Callithrix jacchus: one gene and its partner. The protein of the gene in region 1 interacts with the protein of each later gene in a pairwise test. Links are inferred from orthologs where the notes say so. Each region holds a gene or a part of one and is shown in the gene's direction. Other genes may lie near its edges.

Region 1 (3,815 bases):
AGATTGTGCCACTGCACTCCAGCCTACGTGACAGAACACGACTCCAAAAAAGAAAAAGAAAAGAAATACTTAATCTGTATTTAGATTTCCTAAAATGTTAAAAAAGTAGATTTATATACCCAAGAGTATTCCAGACATACTTAAAATTTACCAATAACTGAATTATTGATTTTTAAATCTAAATGTAATTAAATAAAACTTAAAATTCATTTCATTTGTACTAGCCACATTTTAGGTCCTCAGCAGCCATCTATAACTTGTGTCTACCATTTTGAACAGCACAGGTTTAAAATTCTCACAGGAAGGCAGGACCTCAGGGATTATCTCTTTCTTAATAGGCACTAGGGAGGGCATTAGGAGTTGAGAAGGCTGCATTCTGGCTTTACTAATAGTCTTACTAGCTGAGTGACCATAAACCAATAATTTTATTTCATGGTGCCTTCAACAAATAGGTATTGCCCCTGCACTGCCTCAATCACAGAGATTTATATGAGGGTGGAATAAAATAGATTTGAAAGAAGCATATAAATGATGAGACTCCATAAAATAAGAAATCCTCACTCCAGAGTCCTTTCCACTCATGATACCTCTGCTTCTTGAGATGGTTCAAGTGTTAGCCAGTCTGATGTCAAGCCTGGAAAAACTACAAGATGATAATAAAGATCTCCCAATTCCTTTAGGACAAGAATTACTCTATATGTCTTGATGTTCCCTTCTGAGGTAAGAAGCCGCCTTACACTAGCTGGCTGTTGGAGTTCTGCTCTTGGTGACCAGTGTATAATCTCTCATCTAGGTTTTTAGGATGATTGAAGAACGCCCCACATATGCCATCACTGTGCGTGTTTCCTACTTGGAAATCTATAATGAGAACCTGTTTGATCTCCTGTCCACTCTGCCCTATGTTGGACCCTCAGTCACGCCAATGACCATCGTGGAAAACTCTCAAGGGGTCTTCATTAAGGGCTTGTCAGTCCACCTCACAAGTCAGGAGGAGGATGCATTCAGCCTCCTTTTTGAGGTGAGATAACAAAACCTAAGTGTTCTTTTGCTTCTCCCCTTTCCTTTCTCCTTCTCAGTTTTTCTTTTTTTTCTTTTTTGAGACAAGATCTTGCTTTATCTCCAACGCTAGATTATACTGGCATGAACATGGCTCACTGCAGCCTCGACATCCTGGGCTCAAGTGCTCCTCCTGCCTCAGCCTCCCAAGTAGCTGGGACCACAGGCACTGCTATCATGCCCACTTAAATTTTTTTTTTTTTTTTTGTAGAGACAAGGTCTTACCATGTTGCCCAGACTGGTCTTGAACCCCTAGGCTCAAGCGGTCCTCCCACCTCAGCCTCTCAAAGTGCAGGGATTAAGGCAAGCCACTGTGACCAGCCAGTTTTTTTACTTACTTTGATTATCAGAATGAATTAATATATGCACATTAGGAAAGTTTGGATAGTGCTAAAAAATATATAGGAACAAAAAAGAATTTCATTTCCTTTTCCTTTCCAGTTCCATAAATAAAAAGAAAAAGAAAAAAATGTTTCATGCATAATCTGTTTTTTACACAAGGCAACAATAATGTATATTTTAGCTTATTTCCTTCCAGTCTTTTTTCCTGTGCAGTTTTTTTCTTTACATAGTTGTATTATTCTTATGTCCCTTTTTTCCAGTTAATATTAAGTTATGAGCTCTTTTGTGGAGAACATAAAAATTAGCATCCTTAGTATAAGGCCTCCAAAAGCTCTTGGAGGCCGGGCACCGTGGGCTCACACCTGTAATCCCAGCACTTTGGGAGGCCAAGGTGGGTGGATCACTTGAGATCAGGAGTTTGAGAGCAGCCAGACCAACGTGGTGAAACCCTGTCTCTACTGAAAATACAAAAATTAGCTGAGAGTGGTGGCACACACCTGTAATCCCAGCTACTCAGGAGGCTGAGGCCGGAGAATTGCTTGAACCTGGGAGGCAGAGATTGCAGTGAGCTGAGATCGCACCATTGCACTCCAGCCTGGGCGACAGAGCAAGGCTGTCTCAAAAAAATAAATAAAAGCTCTTAGAAACCAGTCAAATGGGCTGGGCACAGTGGCTCATGCCTGTAATTCCATCACTTTGGGAGGAGGCCAAGGCAGGCAGATCACTTGAGCTCATGAGTTCGAGACCAGCCTGCGTAACACAGTGAAACCCCGTCTCTACCAAAAATACAAAAATTAGCCAGGCATTGTTAGCACTTTGGGAGGCTGAGGTGGGAGGATACACTTGAGCCCAGGAGGTAGAGGTTGCAAGTGAGCTGAGATCACGCCACTGCACTCCAGCCTAGGTAATAGAGCAAGACTCAAAAACAAGAAAGAAAGAAATCAATCAAGTGTATGTTATTCTTTTAGAAGTCATGTAGGCTGGGAACTCTCTTTTTTTTTTTTTCGAGGTCTTGCTGTGTTGCCCAGGCAATGGGCATGTGTGCAGTGGCTATTCACAGGCATGATCATAGCGCCATCTCACAACATAGCAACTTACTTCCTCAACATCAATAGCAGGATATTTTTTAAAGGGTCAGAAAGACAAGGCAAGGCCAAGCGTGGCAGCTTATGCCTGTAATACCAGAATTGAGAGGCCGGGGCAGGCGAATCACTGGAAGTCAGGAGTTTGAGCCTAGCCTAGCCAACACAGTAAAACCCTCTCTCTACTAAAAATAAAAAATAAAAATAAAAAACAAAAAGAAAGACAAGGCAAAATCGTCCTTCAGAAGGGGTATGAAGAATAAAGGTGAATGACTGGATGTGGTGGCTCATGCCTGTAATCCCAGCACTTTGGAAGGCTGAATCAGGAGGATTGCTTGAGCTTAGGAATTTGAGACCCGTGCAGGCGACACAGCGGAACCCTGTGTCTACAAAAAATATAAAAATTAGCTGGGCATGGCGGCCTGCACCTGGGGTTTTAGCTGCTTGGGAGGCTGAGAAAGGAGGATCACTTAAGCCTGGGAGGTGGAGTTTGCAGTAAGCCAATATCACACCCCTGCACTCTAGCCTGGACAACAGAGTGAGACTGATCTCAAAAAAAAAAAAAAAAAAAGATAGAAAGGTGAAGTGACCCCTTATATTCTTGGTGAGTGTCACTGGATTTGCAGAACCGGCCTGACCACAGACTATAGCCTCGTTGCTCTAAGCTATAGAGGTATAGCCACAGGGGTCTGCTAGGCTTGCTCCATAGCCTCAGTCAGTCCTTCCCTCTTTAGCAGGTGCTCTCCTCTCCCCAGGGTGTGCTGTTCCCCACCCCCACTTTGGGGCTCGTTCATAGCATTTCTCATCAGCATTGAAAGATACATCAGTCTATCCCTCAAGGACCTTTTTCTCTGAGAACAGCCATTTCCACCACATTCCTTTTTAAGTATATTCTGGTCATAAGGCCCACTCCTGTAAATTAGAGGCAAGGGCCTACTGTCCCTTTAAAAATACAAATTAATAGTTCAGATACAGTGGCTCATGCATGTAATCCCAGTATTTTAGGAGGCCGAGGTGAGCAGATCTCTTGAACTCATGAGTTCCAGACCAGCCTTGGTACATGGTGAAACCCTGTCTCTACAAAAAATACAAAAATTAGCCAGGTATGTTAGTGGACGCTTGTAGTCCCAGCTACTTGGGAAAGCAAGATGGGAGGATGGTTTGGTCCTGGGAGGCAGAGATTGCAGGAAGCTGAGATCGTGCCACCGCATTCTAGTATGGGTGACAGACTGAGATGCTCTCTCAAAAAAAAAAAAAATTGTGAGCACTAAATAAATATAAATTTTTATTGTTTTTAAAGTAATACATGGTCACTAAAAAAAAAAAAAAAACCAG
Region 2 (4,320 bases), on another chromosome or scaffold:
AAAGAATAACAGTTGATGGTTGGCTTTAAGAGAAATAGAAGAGGAAGAGGAGAGTGTCAACATTTCCAGACAAACACTGGAAAAAATGAGTTGCATTGAAAAAGTGATCAACAGAAATGGATTCTGTTATTTCTGAGAGGAAAAAAAATACACACACACACGCACATATATACGTAGCGAGAGAAAAATACACCTAGCAACGAGTTTGCTTTGATCACATGGCTCTTTAGTCTGCACTTTTCAGGATTTAACTCTTGAGTGAGCCACACAGAATATCAGAGCAGAGTCGAAAGCCAATAACTATTTTTCTAAGTATAACCAGAAACATAATTCTTCCCCAACTGCAATGAAGATTCATTAGTGGGTGAATGGGCAATTGAAGGCCAGAGTTCTATTTCTTGCCCTAAATCACTCGACTAATTAGTAGTCATACTGGAATCAGAACCCAGATTTTGTACTGCTAGGTTTTTTATTTTGTTACATTTGCACCCTAACTCCACTGAAAACAGAAAAGAGAAATGCGTAGTGCAATTTCGATAATTTCCACATCTGGAGCACTTTAAGAGCTACAATTGTCCTGCTAAGGCGGTAGTGGGTGGATGGTGCCGCCATAGTCGGTGGAATAAAACCAAGGTGAGTTAGGTTGGGCGTGGTGGCTCATACCTGTAATCCCAACGCTTTGGGATCCCGGGGAAGGTGGATCACCCGAGGTCGGGGGTGCCAGACTAGCCTGACCAACATGGAGAAATCCTGTCTTTTCTAAAAATACAAAATTAGCCGGGCGTAATGGTGCATGCCTGTAATCCCAGCTACTCAGGAGGCTAAGGCAGGAGAATCTCTTGAACCCGGGAGGGAGGCGGAGGTTGAGGTGAACCGAGATCGTGCCATTGCACTCCAGCCTGGCAACAAGAGCGAAACTCAGTTTCAAAAACCAACCAAACAAAAAAACCAAAGGTGAAGATAAATTGAGCAGAGAAAGGTGGATTATTAGTCTCGAGTGGGCGTGTCGACTTCAGGAAGGGAATGAAAACAACAAAGTGATAAGGGTTGGAGGGGGAATGAAAGGATCTCAGAATGTGGGTATGGTGGGTGGGAAAAGGGATTCCAGGACACCAGAAGAGCAGTACAAAACAGCTCCCGTGGGCAGGCACCGGGGAGACACTCCGGCCCTCCGGTCAGGGGACCCCGCAGGAAGTGGGAAGGACGAGCGCACACTACAAGTCCCAGAATCCCCCGTTTCCTGGAGCCCGTGCCGTGGCGCGCTACGCACGCCGGGAGCCGGCCGGGGCGGCCAAGATGTCGCAGCCCAAGAAAAGAAAGCTTGAGTCGGGGGGCGGCGGCGAAGGAGGGGAGGGAACTGAAGAGGAAGATGGCGCGGAGCGGGAGGCGGCCCTGGAGCGACCCCGGAGGACTAAGCGGGAGCGGGACCAGCTGTACTACGAGTGTTACTCAGACGTTTCGGTCCACGAGGAGATGATCGCAGACCGTGTCCGCACCGATGCCTACCGCCTGGGCATCCTGCGGAACTGGGCAGCACTGAGAGGCAAGACGGTACTGGACGTGGGAGCGGGCACCGGCATTCTGAGCATCTTCTGTGCCCAGGCCGGCGCCCGGCGCGTGTACGCGGTAGAGGCCAGCGCCATCTGGCAACAGGCCCGGGAGGTGGTGCGGTTCAACGGGCTGGAGGACCGAGTGCACGTCCTGCCGGGACCGGTGGAGACTGTGGAGCTGCCGGAGCAGGTGGATGCCATCGTGAGCGAGTGGATGGGATACGGCCTCCTGCACGAGTCCATGCTGAGGTCCGTCCTCCACGCGCGAACCAAGTGGCTGAAGGAAGGCGGTCTTCTCCTACCGGCCTCCGCCGAGCTCTTCATAGCCCCCATCAGCGACCAGATGCTGGAATGGCGCCTGGGCTTCTGGAGCCAGGTGAAGCAGCACTATGGTGTGGACATGAGCTGCCTGGAGGGCTTCGCCACGCGCTGCCTCATGGGCCACTCGGAGATCGTGGTACAGGGACTGTCCGGCGAGGACGTGCTGGCCCGGCCGCAGCGCTTTGCTCAGCTAGAGCTCTCCCGCGCTGGCCTGGAGCAGGAGCTGGAGGCCGGAGTGGGCGGGCGCTTCCGCTGCAGCTGCTATGGCTCGGCGCCCATGCACGGCTTTGCCATCTGGTTCCAGGTGACCTTCCCTGGAGGGGAGTCGGAGAAACCCCTGGTGCTGTCCACCTCGCCTTTTCACCCGGCCACGCACTGGAAACAGGCGCTCCTCTACCTGAACGAGCCGGTGCAAGTGGAGCAAGACACGGACGTATCAGGAGAGATCACGCTGCTGCCCTCCCGGGACAACCCCCGTCGCCTGCGCGTGCTGCTGCGCTACAAAGTGGGAGACCAGGAGGAGAAGACCAAAGACTTTGCCATGGAGGACTGAGCGTTGCCTTTTCTCTCAGCTACCTCCCAAGGCAGAAAAAGGGAGATCCCACGTGCAAGTAGGGGAAATATCTGTCTCCCTTTTCCCTCATAGCCTCCGGGGAGGGAGAGTGACTTCATTCTCCCTTTGAAGAGATTCTTCTGGTGATGTTTATTTAAAAAGTGATCCCCCTCAACAACGGATACAGCGTGCTTATTACTGGGCTTTTAAGCCTCAAAAGCGTGTAGTACCAAGCACTTGTATTTCCGTATATTTTGTCTCGCAGGGGAGGGAAGGGGGAAGAACACGGATGAAAATACCAGTTTTTCAAGGGTCCATGTACATCCCTGACATCTCACACCTTATCTAAGTCTGAAGCTGGGGAGAAAGGGTTCATTTAAACTTCATAAATTTCCAATACGACTTTAGTATCTCTCCAGAGCCATATTTTCTCAGTCTGAATTAATTCCCCATTCCTAGGTGCCTGTGGGCTATGGTACTTCTTCTTCATTGTTTTCTAAGTAAACTTTGCTACTGGTAATGAATGGGAAGGCTAAGAGGAAGCAGTTTAAATAGCCCCGCTCTCATTACTCTTAACACACACATAGGGTGCTAAAGTTGATGAACACATGAATCCATTAAGTAAAATAGTCTTTGTAAAGCATACCTAAGAAACTCAGAAGGTGCATTTAGGTGAAAGAGACCAGAAAGAGAAATAGTATGGATTTTTAAAAATTCTTGTCTCTACTATTACAACCAAAAAAAAAAGTATATATATATATTTCATGGATGTTCCATAAATATTTTTTTAATTCTTATGAAACAGGCTGGTAGAGGAGGTTTCTGAGCCTAGCCCAAGGGCTTATTCATCACTATGGGTAAATTATTTAAACTCAATTAAGGAAAATATTTTCCCAGCTAGAAAAAAATGTACTCGTTCTCATTTAAACTCATTTGGAGGGATCATGTGAGTTGGCCTACTTAATACTAGTGAAAGTTCCCTTATTTTTCTCTCTCCGTTTCACGCAGCCAATTGTGAAAGTTGTGAGTTTTAGGAAAATCACTTGTAATAAAGTGTAAATCTTATCAAATTTATTTTGCTGTTTTCCTCCTTATCCTTGTAGCAAATAAAACATTGACATTCTCACATTTTGTTGATGAAGTAAAAGTCTTGTGTGCTGTCTATGAGTTATAATGCTTTTGCCTTTTTAACATTGTCAGTTTTTAAGTGTTACAAACCCTTCAGAATATAACTTCAGGACAATTCAAACTATGCTTAATGTATGGTTTTTGAACTGCTGTATGCTAAGAAATTAGGTGTGAAAAACTGGTGTTCTGAAATAGCCTGATGTTTATTGTAATTCTGAGTTTTCTGCCTTTTTATTCATCACATATTAAAGTATTAGAGTATTATAACTAATTTGCTAAAATTTGGTGGTGTATAACACAAGATCTTCCATCATGGAGACACGGGTACAAAATTATCAATATGCAAGATGATTGAGTAGGAAGCAGTACAGTGATAACTTCACCATTTTGATACTAAGATAGTTAACGGCTCATGTAAAAGGTACAGTCACAGCACACTAGGCTTGACTTAAGCTAGAAGGGAAAAAATAGCTTCTTCTAGGGTCTTCTGTATTTTAAATCAAACATTTCTTTAGAGTTTTAGTGTGTGATTTGAAGTAGGTTTCTGGTGGTTTGGTTTGTTTTTTGAAAAAAGTTGATTTAACAATCCCTTTACTGAGTGATAAATGAGAACATTCTTCCAAATTCTATTTTTCATATATTTTATAAATATAAATACTGTAGAGTTATCCTTACCAGTATAAGCACATAAGAGGAACTTCAGTTAAAAGTTTGGGGGACTATAGAAGTAAAGGGTATGTATTTCATAGTTAAAGTAAGCTTCAGGAT

Evidence for each region.
Region 2: the proteins of KIF9 (region 1) and PRMT6 interact in a two-hybrid assay, tested with the Homo sapiens proteins (2 studies listed by BioGRID and IntAct). The link is inferred for Callithrix jacchus from reciprocal best matches to the Homo sapiens genes KIF9 and PRMT6.

What each region holds. Positions count from the first base shown.
Region 1 is NC_133516.1:29,928,120-29,931,934, reverse strand, and holds part of KIF9 (kinesin-like protein KIF9), read left to right. Parts: intron 1-793; coding exon 794-1,018; intron 1,019-3,815. UniProt on the Homo sapiens protein: Essential for normal male fertility and for progressive motility of spermatozoa.
Region 2 is NC_133508.1:139,159,626-139,163,945, reverse strand, and holds the start of PRMT6 (protein arginine N-methyltransferase 6), read left to right. Parts: upstream 1-1,273; 5' UTR 1,274-1,296; coding exon 1,297-2,424; 3' UTR 2,425-2,482; intron 2,483-4,320. UniProt on the Homo sapiens protein: Arginine methyltransferase that can catalyze the formation of both omega-N monomethylarginine (MMA) and asymmetrical dimethylarginine (aDMA), with a strong preference for the formation of aDMA.